Alligator mississippiensis: one gene and its partner. The protein of the gene in region 1 purifies or fractionates together with the protein of each later gene. This does not show direct contact. Links are inferred from orthologs where the notes say so. Each region holds a gene or a part of one and is shown on either strand. Other genes may lie near its edges.

What was found. Proteins that work in one complex are often made in the same cells at the same time.
Region 2: the proteins of EIF3B (region 1) and EIF4G3 purify together in Homo sapiens (affinity purification with mass spectrometry; 3 studies listed by BioGRID and IntAct, with this or other methods). This does not show direct contact. The link is inferred for Alligator mississippiensis from reciprocal best matches to the Homo sapiens genes EIF3B and EIF4G3.

Annotation. Positions count from the first base shown.
Region 1 is NC_081836.1:51,166,205-51,176,618, reverse strand, and holds the start of EIF3B (eukaryotic translation initiation factor 3 subunit B), read right to left. Parts: upstream 5,113-10,414; 5' UTR 5,085-5,112; coding exon 4,658-5,084; intron 1-4,657. Other genes in the region: SNX8 (sorting nexin-8), read left to right, coding at 10,030-10,090.
Region 2 is NC_081836.1:2,548,546-2,559,642, forward strand, and holds the start of EIF4G3 (eukaryotic translation initiation factor 4 gamma 3), read left to right. Parts: upstream 1-6,175; 5' UTR 6,176-6,470; coding exon 6,471-6,643; intron 6,644-11,097. UniProt on the Homo sapiens protein: Component of the protein complex eIF4F, which is involved in the recognition of the mRNA cap, ATP-dependent unwinding of 5'-terminal secondary structure and recruitment of mRNA to the ribosome. Functional homolog of EIF4G1.

The DNA of each region.
Region 1 (10,414 bases):
AGCAACCTCTTACACAGAGATGCTAGAAGTACATACACCTTTAGTTAAAAGGTTGGCAACCGACGTGCTCATATTAGAACTGTTTCTGCCTCTGGGTAAAACTGAAGAACAAAAGGGAGATTGCTGGGGAGGTATCTGGCATTGCCTGAAATTCAAAAAGTAAGCATTTATCAATCAGGAAGCTAAGCCATCTGTTATTTTAGCATGAATGGATAGACAATTTATATAGTAAGCCTTCTATACATTGTGCACTTTGCTTCACACAGTTCTGGCTTATGAATAAACAGAAGCAAACATTATCAAGACTACACAGGACACGCTGTCCTGTTTTAGCATACATTTTTTGAGCAACACAGTATCATTAGCAAGGTTGGCTATAAAGGGTAAATGAAAAAAAACCCTGCACGATTAACAAAAAAAAGTGGAACAAATTAACATCTTGCCCCGAAGTCTTTCACTTCTGCATCAAGGTATCAGGTCTGGTCTTAGCTGGAAGAGAACAATGATTTGAAAACTAGTGAAAAGGTGGCATTACAGAAGTCAAGAATTATATTCTTGATTCCTCACTTACGTGGGGAAATTTGCCTTGATTAAAGATAGCAGTACAAAACAGAGAAGGGATGGAATGCATCTATATCCGAGTTATTTGGAAACAGTAAGTAGTGTTTACAAGTAGTGAGTACTACTAACTTTGGATGAAGTAAGTCTTTATTAAAAAAAAAATGAAGACATCTTTGTCCCATCAATGAGTATTAGAGCCCAGAAACAACCTTCAGACCCACAGAGATCTTCCAGTGACACAAGAAAAGACCAGACAATATCCCTAAGTTTAGGAAACACCCTTATGGATTCCTGGCAGGCCCTTTGAATGCATGTACATGCATTCATGTTAGAAGTTAAAAAGGTTAAAAGTAACAACTTGAACCAGTGACAAAGGGTGGAGAGAAATTCTCTTCTATTGAATTTCATTTACATGTGTCAGGTGTGCAAAGTATAGCAGTTTTCCTCAAGCCTTTTTCGTAATTTAGAACAAGGGAAAGAAAAACAGTCAAAACCAAAAGCAACATACAGTTCTAAAAACCAACCTGTCCAGGACAACTCAGAGTTCAGGTGCAATATATTAGAAGTAACTTCAAATTCCCTGGTGAAACAGCTATTCCTTATTAAACAAACATAAGAAGTTGAACTGAGCTAAAACGGTATGTTTACACAGCACTTAACAATGGTATTCATTGACTTATGGGGCTCACAATGCAAAGACTGGCAAATAACAAAAAATATTGAAAATACTGAAAATATTGTAGACAGAAAGCACAGCAGAGACACCAAAGGAAGAGACTGTTTCCAGCCATAGGAGACTGACCAAGAGCACAGAAGTCAAAGATGGGAGAAGTACAGCAAGAAATGAGAGAGAAGAGCAGAGATGCAGATAGTGCAAGGAGGTGATGGCTGGTAAGCTTGGCTTTGAGAATTTCAGCAAAAATGTTTTGAATAGAACGGAAAGAGTAGTGTAAAAAAGTGAATGAGGATGGTGCATAGTAGTCAGAGTTAAAATTTTCAATGCATGGGCTCAGAAGAAAGGACAAATGGTCTGAAAAGAAGCAGCAGTAGGAACTGGCCAGAGACTCGTGAAAGGAGTACACAGAAAAGTTTCAAGATCTTTAAAATTTCTCTTGGTCATCTCCCAATAAGTTAGGGGTTGTCTTGCTTACAGCCAATAGCAAACAGAAGCATGCTAACTTTTCCCTGTACATTGACCTGATCATCACCAATTTGATAAATTTAAGAGAATTTTCACACTAAAAAGATCTTATTAATAACCAGGGCAGTCAACAGATCCCATACACTGCAACTCCTGCCAAGACACCAAGCCATTGTTGATAAATTACTAGTGATGGCAACTGAGACCATCCTCCACTCAACTTCAATCACTTTTTCTGCAATTATACTGGGCAGGGATCCACCTGTTTAAAACTAGGTATTAAAACCTCTTTGCTATTGCCCAAGGGAAAAATTGATGCCAAAAGACAGCTGCCAAACACATTATATTCCCCAACATACAAAGCACTCTCAAGATGCACATTCAGAGCTTTCTAAGCCACTCTCTTTCAAAGAGTTCATATTTTTCTACAGAAAAAATTAAGAGCAAAATGGAAGCATTTCCAAAAGTGGAACAAGAAGGTAAGATACCAAAGAAGAGATGCAAGTCAGTTTAGAGTCAGGTGGAACAATTTCCTCCTGTGAAGTCATTTATTTCTCCTAACCCTTTTCAAAACTAAAGTTCCCAGAAAAAGTTTCCCAGATACCTGGAAAAACTAAGTAATTCATTATGTTGATAGGCTTTCTGTAGGTCTGCTATCTATATCTGCCTGCTCTGTCAATCAGGACTGAATTAAGAGGTTTTACATCCCGTACAATCCTAAAAAAGCAAGTACACAAAAAATAAGCTGGTGTAACCAGTTCCTATACCACCCTCCAGAAACAAGAGGGAGGGGTGTGGTCCAAGATGCTGTGGTCCAGCTAGCCTCACCTAGTGAATACTCCATTGGGGACCATCAACAACAGGTTTCCTTGGGTCTAACTGGTTCACTGTGACCACCCTCTTTCCCAACCTGAACTTGACACAGCAGATGATCCGGTCTACTTAATCCCACTTCTTGCTGGATGAAGGCCAAGTAAGAGGAATTCACTGATGACTCGGGTCACAATCAGCAGTAAAAGAGCAATGAAACGAAGTGGAGTGATCCTCAAATCATTTTCACATAATATAGGAACAGGCACTGAAGATGTTGAAACAACCATGATTCATCACAAATATGGTATTAGCCTTAATTCAGTGAATTGGGATGGAAATATCACTCAATTTCTCCTTCAAAAAGAGTCAACTCAACTACGATTGAGTTGGGAAGTTGGGAGGAACTACTTTCCTTTCAAAGGAAAGTAGTTTTCAAGAAGCAGATGGCCAAGTATAACCACTGACAATGATGCAGGAAAAGACAAACCTGTCCGGGTCTGGAATAGAGGTTAAAAATTTATCAAAAACCCAAACTCAGCATACAGACAAAATAGGTCTCTCCCAAACTCCTAATTAAATAAAAAGCTTCTAACCACATACTCTCCAAGCAGTTTTGCACAATGGTTCTGTTCAGTTGCACAAAGCTGTTTTAACCAATGCATAAGTTTACACAAAGATAGCAACACCAGTGTCAGAACAGTAAATACTGGTTCAGTGCACAGCTGCTTACAGAATCCATGTCTCTGTGCAGTCTCACCTGGGTCATCAAGACCCCTCTATGAAAAAGAAGAGAAAAAAAAAAAAGAGAGAAGTATTCAACTCGTAGGGAGAGGGGAACACCCCCCAGAAGCTGTACTCCTCTCAACTACGCATGGGGGGGGATAGATACGCACAGCCATTCTCTACATAACCTTGATGTGGAACCGCCAGTACTAAACAGAGGAGTCTCTGATATTTCCTTAAGAGGTGAGCTTTGGGCAGATCTTCTCGACAACGCCTGGACCCTTCCCAGCCTCACCATTTCTCACAGTGCTTTATAACTCCAAGGTCTTAGGTCACCTGTGCTCTTCCATCCACACCAACTCCAGACATCCTCAGCCTTCAGAAGGGTATTTATCCCCAAAAGCTTGCAAAGAAGAATTTTCCCAACTACTTGAGTTGGTCTAAATAAAAGAAAATCAGACTGACACAAAGAACCTTGTCTGCTTGTGTCCTTAGACCAACCCGCACCCTCAAGTCACCTGAAGGCTCACCGAGGAGCTGGACAACGTCCCAAATCGAGGGATTGCCAACAACGACGCAGCAAGCTCCGAACAAGCGTCACTGACGTTTGCCCGACGTGCCTTACACGGTCCCTGGGTTAGAACCGTTTCTAACTCCAGTGAACCACGGGGCCGGCAGAGGACGCGATCAAACCCTCCCCGCCACTGTCCTGGAGCGGAGAACGGGGAGATACTTACCTCTCCTTTCTTACTTCCAAGACGCATTTAGCGGCAGATACTTACCTCTGGTATCTTACTCCCGAGATACGTTTAGAGAGACCCGTGCAGAGCACGGACAGGACCAGCCCAGGCTGGAGCGAGTTGGCAACTCTGACCCTATTCCAGGAGGTTTCATCACACGATGGCGGGACATGACGGACTTCACGTCAGGAAGGCAAACGCAGTCACTATCACATTTCAAAACCCCACCGGCCCGCTGCATAAATCCAATTCAACACCGAACGTTTGTTTGAACACAGGCCCCATCGTCGATCTCCTAAGGGGATAGTTTCTCAGCCTGTGGTACGCGCACCCCTGGGGTACACGGGTACCCCAGCGCTCTCTCACCCCTTCCTCCTCTCAAAACCACGGCAAAAAATTCGGCACGCCGCACACGGCACGGCGCTTTGAAATCCCCAGGAATAACCTAGCGTTCGTCCCTCCTAGCTGTGGCCAACATCCCCTCTAGCCCAGGCACGTCGAGTCGCGCACCCCTAGGGTAAGAGGTGGCAGCCTTCGTATCACCCACCGACCCACGCTGCATCGGACACCCGTCGTGTCACGACCGCAGCCCTTCTTCCGACGCGTGGCACACGTCACTCTGCAAAGATACCCCCCCCCGGAAAGCTGAGTGGGGGGTAGGCATTAAAAGGCCACCCACCTTCCTCGCTGATGTCGTCCACGAAGTCCTCGGGGTCGCTGAAGGAGATGTCATCCTCCTCCTCTTCTTCCTCCTCCTCCTCCTGCTCCTTCTTCTCCTCCTGCTGCTCCGGGGACGGCTCGGCCTCGGCCTCAGTGCTGGGCTCCGGCTCCTCCGCCTCGGCCTCCTCCTCGGATTCTACCTTGGGCGTTTCCTCGGCTGCGGTCTTCTCCTCGGCGGGCGCGGGCGGCTGTTCCTCCTCCTCCTCCTCAGGGCTGAGGCGGCCGGGCAGCCCATCGGCGGCGGGCGGGTGCTCCGGGGACCCGGGCGGCGCCTCAGCCTCAGCCTCGACCTCCTCCTCCTCCTCCTGCTGCTGCTCCAGCGGGAGCGGCGCGCCCGGCTGCTCGGGCTCCTCGGCGGGCGCCGGGCTCTCCTCGGCCTCCTGCATGGACGGGTCGCTGCTGGGCCGCGCTGCGGAAAGAAAGGGGGAGGGGCAGCGCTGCGCACGGGCCATGTGCGCGACTCCCGGCGGCCACCGCGACGCGGCACGCACCAACTCCCGCGGGAGGGGAAAGCGGATTGTTAGGGGTTTTTTTATTTTGATTCACTCGAATCTCAACACACCGCCTCCTATGCACGTGGAAGGTAATACTTGATCTCTAGTTACACCTCCATTCTCCTTTTTCTCTTCCCTTCCGTAGCAGCTTTTATTCCTGCCCTGCAGGGGTGTGTCCTCCCCACCCCTATTTCATTCGACATCTTGGTTCATTCCAGCATGGCGGCCTCTTCCCTTCACCCGCCTAAGGTGGGGTCCGACTGAACCATCTTTGAGTGGAAAGGGGGGGTTGGTGGTACCTGCGCATTTCCCCCCTGCGTAGATCCAAAGGGAAGGTTGGGTCCCTCCGTCTATTTAAATGCCAGTGGTGGCGTGAAGGCGGCTGTACAGAGTTTAGGACACGGATTGATGTCCCACCAATTCTGTGCGATGGGTTCGTCCAAAGGCGAGGGGTGGTGGGATTGAGTGTGTGGGCGCTACCACCTTCATCAAAGGGGGGGTGCACAAGGACAATTCGAAGGTGGTAGGGTCCGCCACATCAGCCTAGCCTGCAGTCTCGTGGTCGGAAAGGGGCTGCCTCCCCTCCAGGTGGCCATGACACTAGAGGCAAAGCACAAGCCTGAAGTGCTCAGCAGTAGGGACGTGCTGGGCTGTTTGTGTCCAGGGGCCAGTGATCCAGCCCCATCTGGAAGGGCTTCAGATAATTCATAGGACAGCAGCTCTAATCTAGCCAGACCCTAAAGGGCTTTCGTAGCTCTGCACCCACATGGGGCCCAGCCCCTAGCGCAAAGGGCACAGAGACATGCACGGTTCTTTGGGTAAATCTGATGTCTTTTATTAGACCAACTCAATAGTTGGAAAAACTCTTCTTTGCAAGCTTTTGAAGACAAACGCCCATCTTCAGGTGAAAAAAAGAAGGGTGTTTTCACTCAAAAGCTTGCAAAGAAGAATTTTTCCAACTTTTTTTAAGGTCTTTTTTTTGTGTCCCAAGTCAAGTCAGCCAAATTGATTCCAAATGGGCTTCAGATGCAGGTATCGTACATGCAGGCCCAATCCTGGAGGCTTGGGGTTTGGAGGCCTTCAAGTTTCGCTTGCCCTCAGCCGTATGGCGGCAGGAGCAAGCTAGGGAAGAGCCTCCCATTTCCATAAAGTTGGTGTGTAGCCAAGATCTTCCCATTAGGAGTAAAAGTGCGAGGCTAGCTGCGCTACAAGGTACTACTCCCTGCCATGTTGGTCTAATTAAAGATATCACATTTACCCAAACAAGCTTGTCTGCCTACGTCCTTAGACCAACATGACTACAACCAACACCTCCAAGGGCACAGAGAGGCACTTCAGAAGCAATGGAAATGGGATCCAGCACTTCTTTGCCTGTAGCTCAGCAGTGCATCAGTAGCTGAGATATCTGCTGACCCTCTAACTGGTGCAGTGAGAGATACCAACTCCCTCAAAACTATTTAGGATTTAGAGGGATGTCATCCACTTGATGGGTGGTCACATTCAAAAAAGAGTAAAAGTGCAGCTACACTGACCCTCCGCCAGTTTGTGATTTGACAATAGCATTTCCCTCTCTGTCAGAAATTGTCCATCTTTCCACGTCACTGCCAAGGGAGGCTGACTGGTGATATGAGTATTTAGGAGAAACGGTGAAAGGATTCTGCCACAGTCATAAAAGAACAGGAAAGCAAGAGCAATATGTTCTCAAAACTCTTTAAGCCTTGCATATCATTTTAACATCACTGTGATTTCTATAGTGAGGGTGTCCATTTATTTTCCATGTTGGCTACTGAGGTGACAAATAAGTGACTTTCCTAGAACTTGTGGGTCCCTCACCTGCTTAGTGCCACTACAGGTCTGAGGCCAAAAGAAAAAAATAAACATTTTAAAAGGTCCTGTAGTGACACTGTGTGCCATATGCAAGGTCAGTCCACATGTGTATAATTGCCAAGCCACACGATAGCATCCTCGGTGGCTGTGTGCAGTTCCTGTAGTCCACCACTGAACTTAGTGGGCAATCATCAACAATATGCAACACGGCATGTGTTGTGCCACAGTTATAGTCTGGATTGTTGTGAAGACCCCAGTGGTGGAGGTTGGCTGCACACAGACCTTGCCCAGTCTGCAACCTATTCAGCAAGGCCCACTGACAGCATGGCAGATTGGAGCCAGATGGCAGACTGTAACATCTGGGACAAGGAACTGTCACAGCCTGGGGTAGTGCCAGACTTGATGCTGTCCAAAACTTCACTCAATTCAAGAACTGTGAAGGGTTCTGGAGGGGTTCTGGTCTGCGGCATCTGGTGAAAAGTTCTTCATTGCTTTTGGAGGCAGCTTTTCACTCCTTTTTCCAGCGGCGCTCTTGCTACATGAAGTAGGTGGCTGGCTACTTGGTTAGGTGCCATGAGAGGGTGACCTGGTGTTGATGGCTGATGAGCCACTCCAAAATGACAAAGTAGACTCCAACACTTCCAGATGGAATGGGTGAAGTCCAGCTTCTCAGTCATTTCCTCCTATCAAGCTCGGTGAGCTGCTTCCAATGATTCGATCAAGTGATTGGCGACATCTGGGTTGGCAGCTGACTCATACTGCTTTAGCAGGGTGACACACTTGGGATCAAAGCAGGGAGGATAGACTGGGCAGCAGCCACATGGAATGGCCCACAGGCTGCTTTATAAATGGTGCCACAGGGATGACTATAGGCCTCTTCTACCTGAATGCTCTGGGTCGGTATTGTCACATTGCTTCATTCCAATGACTTGCTATACTTCTCCTAATTAGTCTTACAGAAGTTCCACCCTTCTTAGAGCTTTTGAAGATTGGAAGCTGGAGTCTGATGTGGACCAGAGATGGCCTGTGCAGGAAGTTGTCCAAGACCTGGCAAGATGCTGGCTGATGTGCAAAATAACAAATGTAAAGCAGGATGTGAAAAAAGTCTTTGACTTGGTTGTGGATACTATTTTGATTCTGCAATGGACTTGTCTACACAGAGAAATGGCTCGGAATAGTCATTCTGCAGTCACTCCCCATGAGGATTCTCATGTTCTACATCAGTGGAGGCCAACCTTTTTGGCGGGCATATCACAAATTAGCCCTGTGCCCTCCTCAAGTGCCACTCTGATTACTCCTCCCCCAGCCTGATCTGTTGCTCTGTTTTCTGTTCCCAACTCTATCTGCTGCTGTGCTGCCTGTCCCTTCCCTAATCAGCTGTGTGCTACACAGAGGCTGCCTGTGCCACATGTTGTACGCGTGTTGGATGTTGGCCACCCCTTTTTTACTCTAGCAGTTGGTTTTTGGTCCACTTTGGAAATGGAGTTAGCCACATAGTAAAAAGGTATTCTGCAGATTAAGAAAACCCATACAAAGAGTTAATGCTGATGTCAGACCCTATCTTATTTTGCAATCACTTCTGTATGTGGATAATCCTTTGGGGGAAGAAATCGGAAGAATAAAGCAAGGAAAATCCAGCTTTGTAATTTTGTAAATTAGTCACAAGATGTCACCCTAACTCCATTCAAATCCAATTAACTGCTTATTTACTTGCAGTTGCATGTTTACATGTAAGTTCTTAGAGAAAGGTTAACTTTTTTCTCTGAAGTGGGAGATCAGATACTTCAGTATCTTCCAGCTAAATCATTATGGTAGGTTTGATTAACAAGACTTTGATTTTCTAGTTTGCAGCAATAAGCTAACTGAAAGTACCTGGAACAAAGTTTTGCTCCTTTCAGACTGACCCGTGCTCCTTCAATAACCACTCAAGTTACCATAAATACATGACTCTGCTTTCTTCTCTTTGCCTCTATAGTTTGTTCTTGGAGATCTTTTCATTTATAATAGCTATTCTTACTTTCAATTTCTCTCTTTTTTTTTCCCTTTCTGGTATAAATGTTCCTCACTTATCTGCCTCAAGGATTCACTCTGGTTTTCATTGTGTCTCTTTCCATCCTTAGCAACATTAGGATGGCGTGGGACAGCTCCTTATACCTAGATTTCAAGTGCTATCAGCTGGAGGTGATTCTGTAAGAGCTCTGATTTGAAGTGCTTGTAACAAAATTAGTTACAGGGATGGAAAGGTTTGCAAGAAATGGGCTCTTGGAATCCAGCTGTCAAAATACAAATGTCAAGGAGCTCTAAGCGTTTTAATAAAGTATATATTATCTAAGGCTGTCACAACTGAAACTACTGATTCCTGTTTGTGGCTCTGTTGCAGCAAAAAGATACAGAGAAGTTCACGCTTTTTGAAGCCTATGTGGCATTTCAGTTCTTGGACTCACACCAATGGACTCCTTCAGTGACTGAAGCCTTGATTAACATTGTACCCTTTATATCAGCAGCATTGAGCCCCCATTCTCTCTTTCTCTTCTAGTAATTATTATTACTTATGTTACAGCACAGTTCAGAAGTGTCTTATCCACCAAACGTACTTCCTCTTATTGCTGTGTTTATAGTAAAAGTGGGACTGGGTCAATGGCTTATACTAAATCAAATCTTTTTTACCTTACTAAAAACTATTTCTGCAGTTGGATTAAGTTTTTCCACAATATTTTTCTGTGTGACTGTGTGTGGAATATAAAAAGCAATTCTTAAAGAAGAGGGTATATTTATACAAGAACATAAGAAGGGTTTATTAAACCAAGTACACTTCAGTGGTGTCAAACGTAGTTTTCTGTATTCATTTTGTTTACCAATTGTATGCACATAAAAATATATCCAGAACAGTGAGTAGGGCCTGGTTTGCAGACATACTGGACACCCATAACTCCCTGATCCTTTCCTCTCTACAGGTAAGGGAGCAAAGAGCCTATCCACTCAGATAAACTCCTTCTGTCCCTACCACTCCATGCAGAAAAAAGGGCTGGAGGACAGCTCAGATAATGCCAGGAGGAGGAAAAGGAGAATCCGTGAGTCACTCAGATCTTTGTGGGTGTGGAAGCAGTCTGAAAAATTTCAAGGGAAAGGAGTTCAAATTTACTGTGGCCTAAAGCAGGTCTTACTTTGTAAAGTAACCATCTGTTACTCTGTATGTACAATGCTATCTCTATTGTAGAATATTATCTCATGTTCTACCTTTCAGAAGGTCAGTTAATATAATGAAGATGAATTAATGTACATACAGTACCTAACAATGCTAAGTATTTATTATTATAGGCAGAAGGTAGGTCACGGTGGCACCTTAAAGGCTAAAGGCATTCAGAGACGCATACGTTTTCATAGGTAACAGCCTA
Region 2 (11,097 bases), about 49 Mb from region 1:
GCGCCAGTTAGTTGTTTCCCAGCCATGCTGAGAGGGAGGAAGCACCTAGTAATATTTCTTCCCAGCAAAAGTTTAAAGAGGTAGATAATTGCAGCTTTTGCTAGATGTCTTAACTGGAGACAGCCACAGTTCTAATGGCTTGTGAGAATACCAGCAAAGGGCTCCAATCTCTCCCTGTATGAACTTTTTCTTCACTTCCTCAGCAGTAATTAGCAACCCCATGCTGCTGCTTCCCATGACTGAAAAGAGCAGGAGGAAAACCTGAAACATTCTCAGTGCATTATTTATCACCAGGTGCCACAATTACATGTGCCACCTCTTGTCTCACCTAAAAATACAGCCACTGCAAAGGACTCCAAGGCAATGGTGTTTGCTAGGAGGTGCTATGGCGACTCTCCCAAGGATTTGGGCACAAACCTCTTTTTGGGGGTTTTGGGGGGTTGGTTGTTTGTTTCCCTCTCCATCTTGTTCTTGTAGCTCCCTCACTTTGTAAACTTTCTCAATCCGCATTTTTTGCATCTTTTTACCTTGATGCCTGCGTTGCCTCTTTAGGGTTGGCAGCAGAAGTATTTTATAAGTGGAAAGGCCACAGGCTGTCAAAGGAAATTGGCTAGAATAACTATAGCTGTTTCTACAGCTAAATGTGTGTCCTTGCTGCAAATGGAAAGTGACTAGGACTAACAAATTTCCTTTGTATCCCTTCCTAGTGAGCTGGCAAGGATTTTCAGTCCTAGTCAGTTTAATTTTCACCCAGCTCCTTGAGAAGAGCTTGAGATAGATGAGAATTCACTAACCTTAGTCATTTTCCTTTTGCAAGATCTTTACGCTGGAGCATGGATGACTGGTGCAATAAAAACAGATGGCTGGAAACAGAAACCGAATAGCACGCTAGTCATCTTCCCTTTGTTGCTGACTCTTGTGATTTTTATTTTATTTTTTTATGCCATGTAATCTTTGTCTTTTGTTGTGGTGTTCCTGTAGATAGCGCCTCTATTCTGGTCCGAGTAAGGCAGGAATCGCTTTTTACTGGTGATACGCATGGCTTCTCAAAAGAACTGCAGCACAGTTAACAGCAGCTTTTCTCCTGAGATCTAGCTGTGCCTACGTTCAGTTAAAAATACACTAGTACTAGACTTCTTTATATGGGTCTTTTCTGATGTGACACATCTCCTAAAGCTGACCCTGTGCAGTTAGCAATCCATCTGAGATGCAATCTGTCTGGGGTTGTTGGTTGTAGCCATGTTGGTCTAAAGACGTAGGCCAGCAAGGTTCTTTATGTAGTTGCATCTTTTTATTAGACCAACTAAACAGTTGGACAAAAGTTATTTACAAGTTTTCAAGCACAACCACGTCTTTTTTTTTTTTTTTTTTTTTTTTCAGGCATTTGGAGACTCTGCATCTATCTGGGATCATTTTATGGCTTCCATCTACACTTGTATGTGAATGCCTTCATAATCTTTAATGTCTTTCTTCTTGCATCACCCTCTCGGGTATAGAAATAGCATTAACCCCATTTTACAGATCAGGACCTGAGCTACAAAACGATTAAGGCCTACCATATACTAGAGGAGATCTGTCCACTGTACTTGGACCTCTGGCAAACCCTCCTAGTGTATATGTAGTTTACAAAGGCCAAAAAGTGCTGCTGCTGTCACTATTTCTTGTACCAGTTCACTGAGCAACACCAGTGCAAGTGCTAGTTTTTGCTAGCATTACTGTGTCCACACTAGAGCCTTTGCTGTTTGTTGGGTTTTTTGTTGTTTTTTTTACTTGCAATTAATGGTTTTTGCTCACCAAATAATTTTTGCTCAAAGTCACCCATTGTGAATTGTATCCAAGTTTCCAGCTAGCTAATGCACAGTCCTTGTCTCATTATACACAGGACTGGATCAAATAAAACTGACAATGGAAAAATGTATTAAAAATATCTACTTCTCTCTCTCTTATTGAATGCTGCTCTGAGCTTCACCCCAGATAAATAGAGCACTGGTCCTGTGAGAAATGTAGAGGGCAAGCAGCCCTCCCTGCGTGTTCTTTTTTTTTATCCTATTTTCTCTCTGCAGGGCTAGAGTACCAAGGAATTAGCAAGTCCTGTGCTCCCGAAATTACCGTTCTTCAACTAAAGTATTGTCCTCCCCAGAGACTCAACCATGTCAGATCAGCTCTGTGAGCCTTATCAAGGTGAGAATCTGCACTGCAATGCCTATGGCTTTGAACAGGGAGCAGGTGATCAAACCTAGACCCTAAAAAGTGGAATTGGTTTCCACTGCAGCAGCAGCTATCTCTCCCTCAGATAAAACCACCTGAAAAGCTGTCAAAAACACAGTAATCCTTGAAATACTGGGAAGTGGTGTTTCAATGGGGGGGAGGCTATAACAATGTGAATATATTAGCTAGATGTGCATTTATTTTATAACAAGAGTTTTCCACTTTACAAGTCATGTTCATTATTTTCTTCTTTTAAATATATTTTTATTATAAATCATCTTTCATAAATTTACAGCTGCACAAAAGGCACAGTTCTGCACACAGTATAAGCAATGTAATTATCCCTCAGAAATTTGAAGAGATTTATAAGGAATACTAATGGCCTCATTCTAGGGAATGCATTTTAAATTCTTTCATTATCAGGTTTCAACCTGTCCTGAAATGCTGGTTGTGTCAAATGCAGTACGCATCTAGTGGACCAAAGGAAGCTGGTAAACCCTTTCTCGGATGTGCAGGAACCGTTCCGGTACTGAATAAAAAAAGCCTTGTGCTGGCTCTACCAGCATTTAGTGGCTAGAAAACTGACAGATCTAGTCCCTGGGGGATTTTGCCACAATGGTCAGATGCCACAGGTGGCAGGGAGCTGATGTAATGGGTCTGTGCTAACTTATGGTGTAAAGAATACTAGTAGCCTTCACGCACAAAAGTTATGGTGTGGCAGGAGTCCTGCAGTGTCTGTAAAGGCCCACCTGTTGGGCAGAGGTAACGGAAAAACTTAACATTTTCCTGAAGCGGCTCAAACCTACTTGGGGTGGGGGCCGCTATCCATCTTTGGGAGTAGGCATGTTCATCGGTAAAGCGACCTTTACCCTGTCCTGAACTTAACGCAGGACCTGAAGCTCAAGAGCAGACTCCAATTGTTCATTATTTTTCCAGAAAGGACCAGGCTTAATGGGCCTGGCTCTAAGATGTTGATTACTAGTAACTCCTGTTGGTTTAAACAGAAGTTGAGGGTGCTCAGCACCCCCTCAAGATCGGATCTGATAAAATAATAGGATGTAGGGCTTGAAGGGACCTGAAGAGATCATGTAATCCTACCCCTTGCTCAAGGGAGGATTGCCCCTGTCTAGACCAGCCCAGACAAGTGCTTGTTTAACCTATACTTAAAAAACCAAACAAACTGAGAACCCACTATGTCTCTAAAGTAGATGATGTGTTCCAATATTTAGTCACCCTCAAATTTTAGAGAATATTTCCTACTACCCAACCTAAATGTCCCATGTCAAAACTTCAGCTTGTTACTAGCCCTGTGCAAAACGGCTAGTACTCGTTTCGGATATGGCCGATTCAGGGGACAGTGATTTGATTCGGCCGAATCTGATTCGGAGCCCTTTTTCTTAAAGGGCTGGATCTGGCCTGGGCGGGGCACCTGTGTGGGGGCTGGGGAAGCGAGGGGGAGATGGGGCGGGGGGGGGGGGGGCAGTGGGGATCGGGGGCAGGGGTCCCTTGATTCGATTCAGAGATTCGGCTGCCGAATCTCCTCCGGATCAAATCGCCACCTGAAGCTTCGCACAGCCCTACTTGTTACTACTTCTGTCCCCTGTAGAAGCAAGCAAGTTATCACATCCTAACAACCCTTTTTATATTTTAAGACTTTTTCAAATCCCACCTCCCCTTGCATCAATTTTCTCTTTTCCATACTCAATTCTTCCAAACTTTCATGTTATGTCTTGTAGACCTCTTAACTTTCCGCTCCTCCCTACCCTGTTCTGGGACATTGTCCAGTTTGTTCAAATCTTTCTTGAAGTACAACAGCCAGCTGAAAGAACCATTCTTATTTTATCTCATTTCTTTTGGAAAGAGAGATGGGAAATAGTGTAAGGACTTATTACTTTGCATCACATCTCTCACCTGAGAGTCCCAGAATCTGCTGTGTGTGTGTGTGGCTGGACTGGAATGAAACCACAATGGAACAGGAGCTGTGTGGAGGAAGAGGAGGCATGTTGGTTTCTACCTCTTTAGGGAGAAGGTGCCCAAGTGCACGTGGAGTGCTAGGGACAGCTACAACACTGCTGGTTCTTTTAATGCATGGCAGGATGCTGGCCATAACACTGGAGACTCCAGACATCTAGGTCAGTCGTTCTCAACCTTTTTAGTCTCAAGGCACCCTACGGAAAATGCCAGCTCTTAGCATTCACATGCCTTTTTACTATGGAAAAATAATAGAGTGATTCTTCTGTGTGCAAAGAACTTGGGCAGTCCATAACAGGGCAGACTGTTTGTTTGTCATGATCTGAATTCTCTGGGTTTATCATGTGAATTGTGTTTGCACATCTAGCAGGGCTAACGTCGTGCAGCAGTCTGCAACATGCCCTCAAGGCACCCTGGCTGAAAATCAGGCTGAATGTCAGCTCTGTGGGTGTGGGACCCCCTCTCTGAGTGAGCCCTGCAGCACTGACCCTCTCCTGGGGTAGACCAACTACTGGGGCTGCTGCAGGAGGGGGTGGGGGTTTTCCCCCGCCCCCAGCAATTTGACCCCTTTTTGGGAAGGGCAGGAAGAGGCCAGCAGGCTGGAGCAGCTCCTGTGTAAGCAAAGGGACAGCTTCTGCATATCTCCTCCCTTCCTCAGAGCAGCACTGGGCCTGGAAACGGTGGAAGAGGCCAGTGGCATCTGCAAGTGGTCCCCAATCGCCGTTCACCACCCACTGACGGTGTCTGTGGACGGTCTTTGCTCACCATGGCTGTCTCACACCACCGTTGGCAGCTGCAGACAGTCCCTGCTCGCTGCCATGGTGCCCCCCGATTTAGGGAGGCAGCAGTCGTTCATGCTCCGTAGTGAGCGATTAACAACGGGGGCCCAGCCAGGAGCAGGGGAAGGTAAGTGGGCCCTAGCCTGGCTGGGTGGTGGGAGGATTGGAGCCGGGGGGGCTACCGCCCCATCTCTTGGGGGTGCAGTACAGCCTGGAGTGACCTTTATTTTCAAAAAGTGATCTTCCCCATAAAAAGTTTGGAGACCGCTGCCCTAAGCTATGTCCAGTTTAAGAGGCCCCCTACGATAAAAAATAATCCATGAAAATGGATTTTCATGAAATTTTAAGATGAACGATGGTCACAAACTCTTCCTTTCAAGGTTTTCTTTCGTTGAGTGGAGAGAAAAATGTTGCACTGTATCCCACAAGTGTCGCCGCCTCCCTATTCGCCTGATATGGCCCCTGCGCCCCTCAACGAGAGGAAACTTTGGGAGGTTTTGTGACGTGGAAACCCTACAACACAACGTGACTGAGCGGCTCTTAGCAATTCCAGCTTGCTGATCCGACGCGCTCCCAACGATGGCAGAAACGCTGGGAGAAGCGCGCGGCTGCAGAAGGAGTGTACTTCAAAGGAGATTAAGCCAAAACCCCTGTGAACACGAATGCTGCGTGGCCCAGGGGAGATGGGGACTGCCCACGGGTGGCGGCAGCGGTGCTGTCTACGGACACCGCTGGCAGTGCCCGTGGTGGTGGGTGGGAGTGGTGAGCAGTGACTGCCGGCAGTGTCGGTGGCACTTTTTTGCAGGGGGTGCACGTGCACCCATATGCATCCCCTCTAAATTAAATATTTTGTTCCCTAGAGCATGCGTCTGGATTACTTTTTGAGTAGCCCTTGTACTTTTCTCACATAAGAACAAAAATATCCATTTTTTGTGTCTTTTTGGAGAGGAAAGGGGAGCCCCTCAGCTGCAGGTTGAGGGGGGGGGGGGGGGGAGAGGAGAGGACCCTGAGGAGACTCCTGCCAGGTGAGCGCCTCGGCTCCTTCCGGAAGACGCCGAGGGAAGCCGAGCGTTTCCGAAGCTGCTCGGCACCGGCGCCCGAAGCTGCCCGAAGGGCGGGCCAAGCCGAGCGCGTCCGGAAAGGGCCGAGGCGGGCCGAGCCGAGCGGCTCCGGAGAGGCCCGAGCGCCCGCCCTGCCGGAGTGCTGGAGGCGGCCGCGGCGCCATGTTTGATGCTCCGCTGCTCCAGTGAGGAGAATCCGCCGGCATCGCCCCGCAGCCGCCACCGCCGAGGGCGCCGCTGCCCCCGGGGAGGGGGCCCGACACCCTCCGCCGCCGCCGGCGGCCCATGAGCAGCGCGGCCTGAGCGGCGGCGCCCGCCCGCCCGCCCGAGGCGCGTTGTCACGGAGACCGGCCGGTGGTGCTGGCCCGCCGGGCTGCCCCTGCCCCCGCCGCCGCGGCCCGGCTCCCCCCCGGCCCCGCTCCCCGCCGGGGGGTGGTGGCTGCGCGTGGCCATGAGTGTCCCGCAGAAGGCGGCTCTGAAGCCCGGCTCGGCGGCGGCGGGCAGCGGGGCGGCGGCGGCGGCGCCGGGGCCGCCTCCCCCCGCGGCTCCCCCTCACCCGGCGGCCGCGGGGGCGCCTCCTCCGCACCCCGCCATCCGGGCCTTGCCGCCCCAGCCGCCCCAACAGTATCCTTTGCCGGCTCGGCCCCTCGCCCAGCGGCGCCCCCTGCCCGGGGGTGCCGCGGGCTGCACCTGTTGTGGGGCGGGGTGGGCCGCGCGTGTCCCCCTCCCCGAGGGCCGGCGGCGGGCGCAGGGAGCAGCCCTGCCTGCCCCCCTCTCCCTGGAGGTAAGTGGCTGCCTCCAGCCAAGTTTTGGATACCGAGGATGATTTTTGCCGTGGGTGTTTTGGGGGGCGGGCGGAGGAAGCCGTCTCCGGTGCGAAACCCAGAGCCCGGCGAAGGTTTTTAAAGGTCTTCCGCTCTTCGCAACTAGGCCCGGAGTCGGGACGTGCGCGCCGCCGAGACCGGCAGGGAAGTGGAGCGGAGCCGGTCTGCGCGCGCCGTGCCGTGGGGCTCCGGCATCTCCCGGCGATTTTTCAGAAGTTTTGGGAGAAACTCTTCCCCCGGGAAAATGACTCCGTGCGTGGCGCCGAGAGAACGTAGCCGCCGGGTCTCCCGCTGGAAACGCGGGGTGACCCCGGGGCGATGCTTCGTACCGGCGGCGGCGATGCTTTCGAGGCGATAAACGCGCAAGACGTCTTTCTCGTGCGGTCGTACCGTCCAGCGAGCTCGCTGCATGTGTGTAGGCGCGTATGACGCTTCTCTTGCGGTGAATGGCAGGCTTGTTGCTCTCGCTCGCGTCTCGAGGCGGGAGGAACAAACCCTTCTGTAAATCGTCCGGCTCCTTGTGTTGAACTTCCAGTGAAATACGCGTTTGTTGTTGCCGTCATACATGTTTTGCTTAAATTGACACTGGAGATTTGTTTGTTTAGGTCAAAGTGAAGTCTGCAGAGGCTGGAGAAGATTGGTAATGGGAGGCTGAGTCTCTTTCTCGCTTAGTAATTGGGCTAACTTGCTAAAAGTTTTCAAAGTTCTTGCTTTTGAATGCTTGGAATAGCGTACGCTCATCTTCTTAAGCAAGCATGGCAGTGGCAGGTAAAACTTGCTCAGGGGGAGCTTGCTTAGCTTTGAGCCGTGTGCCAAGTGTTACAGCGGGGAAGCTGGCTGGCTTGCACAGAGTAAGTCAGTGCTCGGCCGATCCGCCCAGAAGGTACTGGACTGTCCGATTCCGTTGAACGTTCTGTTTGGTATACAACACCTTTGTGTGTTGACAGTTAAATGGCTTCTGCGTGCCTGGATCTGGGAACCGGAGAGAGAGACTTTTCAAAGCACTCCTCTTAGGTAATCCCTGAAAGCATCTTGGAGGGATTTGAATACTTTTCTGTGAATGCTAGCTTCTGCGGACTGCAAGACTGGCATGTACTGTAAAGATTGAAACAGAAAATGCCATCACATATGTCAGTTCTTTAGTGCAGTTTAACAGATATACTTTGCCTGCGTCAGGGGAGGACACTGACTGTCTTTTGAAGGCAGCCTAAAAAATTCCCAGTCTGTGGACTTGGTTCCTTCACGAAGGAGCTAGTTATGATATTGCAGCATTTCACGTTGTGGCTGTAATTAGGTACTAAGATCAAGATGCCTAAAAGGAAGGGAAACGAGGTCAGTTTCAAAGGTGTGTGAACTTGAAGAAAGACCAGCGCTTTCTAATTGTAAGCGACTAGTTTGTGACCTTGTGCTTCTGAATCTAAATGATTTCAGTGATTCAAGCTTTAAAGCCGTAACCATCCTTGTGATCATGTATGGATGCTCCATTCCCATTTCCTTTAACTCCAGTCTATTCAAATGTCTTGGCTGTTTTTGCTTTCTGCTAACATCTGGAAGTATATGTAAATAGTAATGAAAGCTGTTACCTTTTATAAATCTTAATGCAAATTTGAATCTCTGAGTATTTTGAGAGGGAAATTCATTAGAAATGTACTGAAATGCACAGGTCATCCAAGTTCATCCTTATTTTCAGTGCTGTTTTTTTTTTTAATGTTATATGACATCAAGGCAGCATTTCCTTACAGCAGATAAGCTACAGCATCAGTATACTGCAGGGTCCTTGTGTTTTCTCTCCAAGGCAGTACAGGGATTTATTTGTTGATGCAAATATCCAGCATGTTTTGTGTTGATCGAATTGTTGAAGCTCCAGATCAGGCTTGCAAAGCTAAAACTCTGTTTACTAGGGTTTATTCTGTGTCCTTGTGTCTTCAGAAATATGTGCATCTCTAATTTATTATATTAATTGAATGGGCATAGTCTATCAGTATGCTTGAGCAGGAAAAACTCGAGAAAACGAAGGAGAGCTGATACCCATCTGGTCCACATGTATTTGTGGAAAAGAAATAAATGAGATATGATAGGAAGAATATAGTGCTGGAGGAGAGGGGAACGTGCTGGTGCGTTTTCTTTTGTTTTTTTTTTCTTTTCTCCTTTAAAGGAAAGTGAAACTGGAAAGTGACAAAAAAAAAAAAAATTAGAAACCCAGTGACACTTCTCTTGTTGTGTAGCCTGCTAAATAGGAAGTTATGGTGACGACAGCAAGAAAAATGAGCTTTGTAAAAGATCCTTCTCGTATGATGGTTTAAAAAGTTATTTTCCTGTCAAAGTCACATGAAATCCATTTTGTAGGTTCAATAGAGGCAGGTGGCAACTGAAACCCAAATTCAGACGAGTGATATTCTCTTGGAAAACTTTCAATCTGGGCAAAGCACCTGTAGCATACCTGTCTCACTGGAAAGTAATGTCATTCTTTGTATGGAAGAAATAAAACCAGTTTTCTAGCTCTGGCTCTGGCTTGCGAACTGTTGCTGAGGAATCTGATCCAGTTTAACACTGTTATTCCATAGTAACACTCTTGAAGTGAAGCTATAAAATAAGAAAGGTGTACACTGGACCATGGAGCTCTGCCTTTCTGCTCAATAGAACTTGTAAAGTATATTTAAACTACAAGCGTTTCCTTTCCAACTCGCTCTCAGGCTCTTGCTTATAACAAGAATGGGTTTTAAGAGCGCTTTTGTCATACACTTATAATAAACTACTTTTTTAAAGACTTCAAAAAAGTTATGTGCTGTGGAGTAAGTATTGCTGATGTGATGAATATTATTAAGTCATCCATTTCTTCACAGCATCAGTCTGCACATCAGCAAATAGCACATTATAAAGGACAAACAGATTGCTGGCTCTTCAGGGTTAACTGAACATTGTACCTTGCAGCCAACTTAGAGCTCCCCTTATTGTGGGGATAGGTTCCTTTTCTTTCATTTCTTTTCAGACTTACTTGTATTTGGAGCCAGTTCAACTTCCTGATAACTGATGGTTTCAAAGCAGGCTACAATAAACATGACCTTAATTTATCACCTAAACTGTTGCAGAGTTAAACTAGGCACATCTCAGCATGTGCATTTTTCAGGGCTTTTGGAGCAAGGCAACCACATCAGATTCAGGATGTGTTGTACAACCTTGGTTATGCAAATACTGGGCTTTATTTTTTTTTTCTATTTGATTTTATCGCTATAGAAAAGCCTCTAGGTATTTGAGCTTGGGTAAAGCTGGAGAAGGGAGGAGGATCTGTTTTATGATTTTTGTATAGAGCATATATCTGCAAGAGCTTCCTGGATGAATTAGAAAAGTTGCTAGTCAACTTCAGGGAATCATCTTTTCTGTCTGCATATATAAGTGCAGTTCATTCAAAAAAAATTCTAGGAGATTTTCTCTGACCTCTGGGGACCTGTTCCACAGCCAGTCCTCCTAAAAAAAGAATGTTCTGTCTGTGGCACGTATGCATATGCGAGTGGCATGTTCCAGAAAAGAGTGGGTTTTTGCAGGGGGTGGGGGTGCATGGTAGGTAGAGTTGTGGTCTTTGATGCGACTTACCTGGTACTGGGTTTGAAGATCAGGACATAGTCCTTGAGCTGATGATTGAAGGTGCTTGGAATGCAGAAGGATCAGAACATCACGTTGCCTGGAAACAAGGGCTTCTCTACCTCTGTGCCGTCTTCTGTGTTAATATTTTAAAACAGATGGATTTTAATATTTCTGCAACCAAAAATTAAAATTTATTTCTTAATGACAGAAAGACTTCTGAGTTGATAATGAAGACCTGATGTCCTTTCCTAAATTTGAGAGAGGGGCATGGGATGCAGCATTGAAACATTTCACATCCTTTTTCCTTCATTAGCTTGTGACCTTTTAATCACTTGAGACTTCATATCAAATGGAATAAAACTTGATGCGACTCTGCTGGATAAGAAGATTATTATGGGTGTATTGCCCCAACCAGACTTTGGAAATGCAAGAAGTAGTTTTAACTAAAAACACGTCCTCATCCTTGCTGGGTTCATATTTGTTTGTGTGCAGTGTTTGTGTTTTTGAAGCGCACAGGATGGTGTTGTTTTGTTTCTTGTGTTTGTTTTTAAGAGTTGGTCTGGCTGTCCGGGAAAGGAAAAACATGAATCCCGGTGCGGTGCTGGGGTTTTGTCAGTTTCTTAAGAAGCATCTTGCAATTGAAAAACTTCCTTATGATGTAGAGTCTTACCG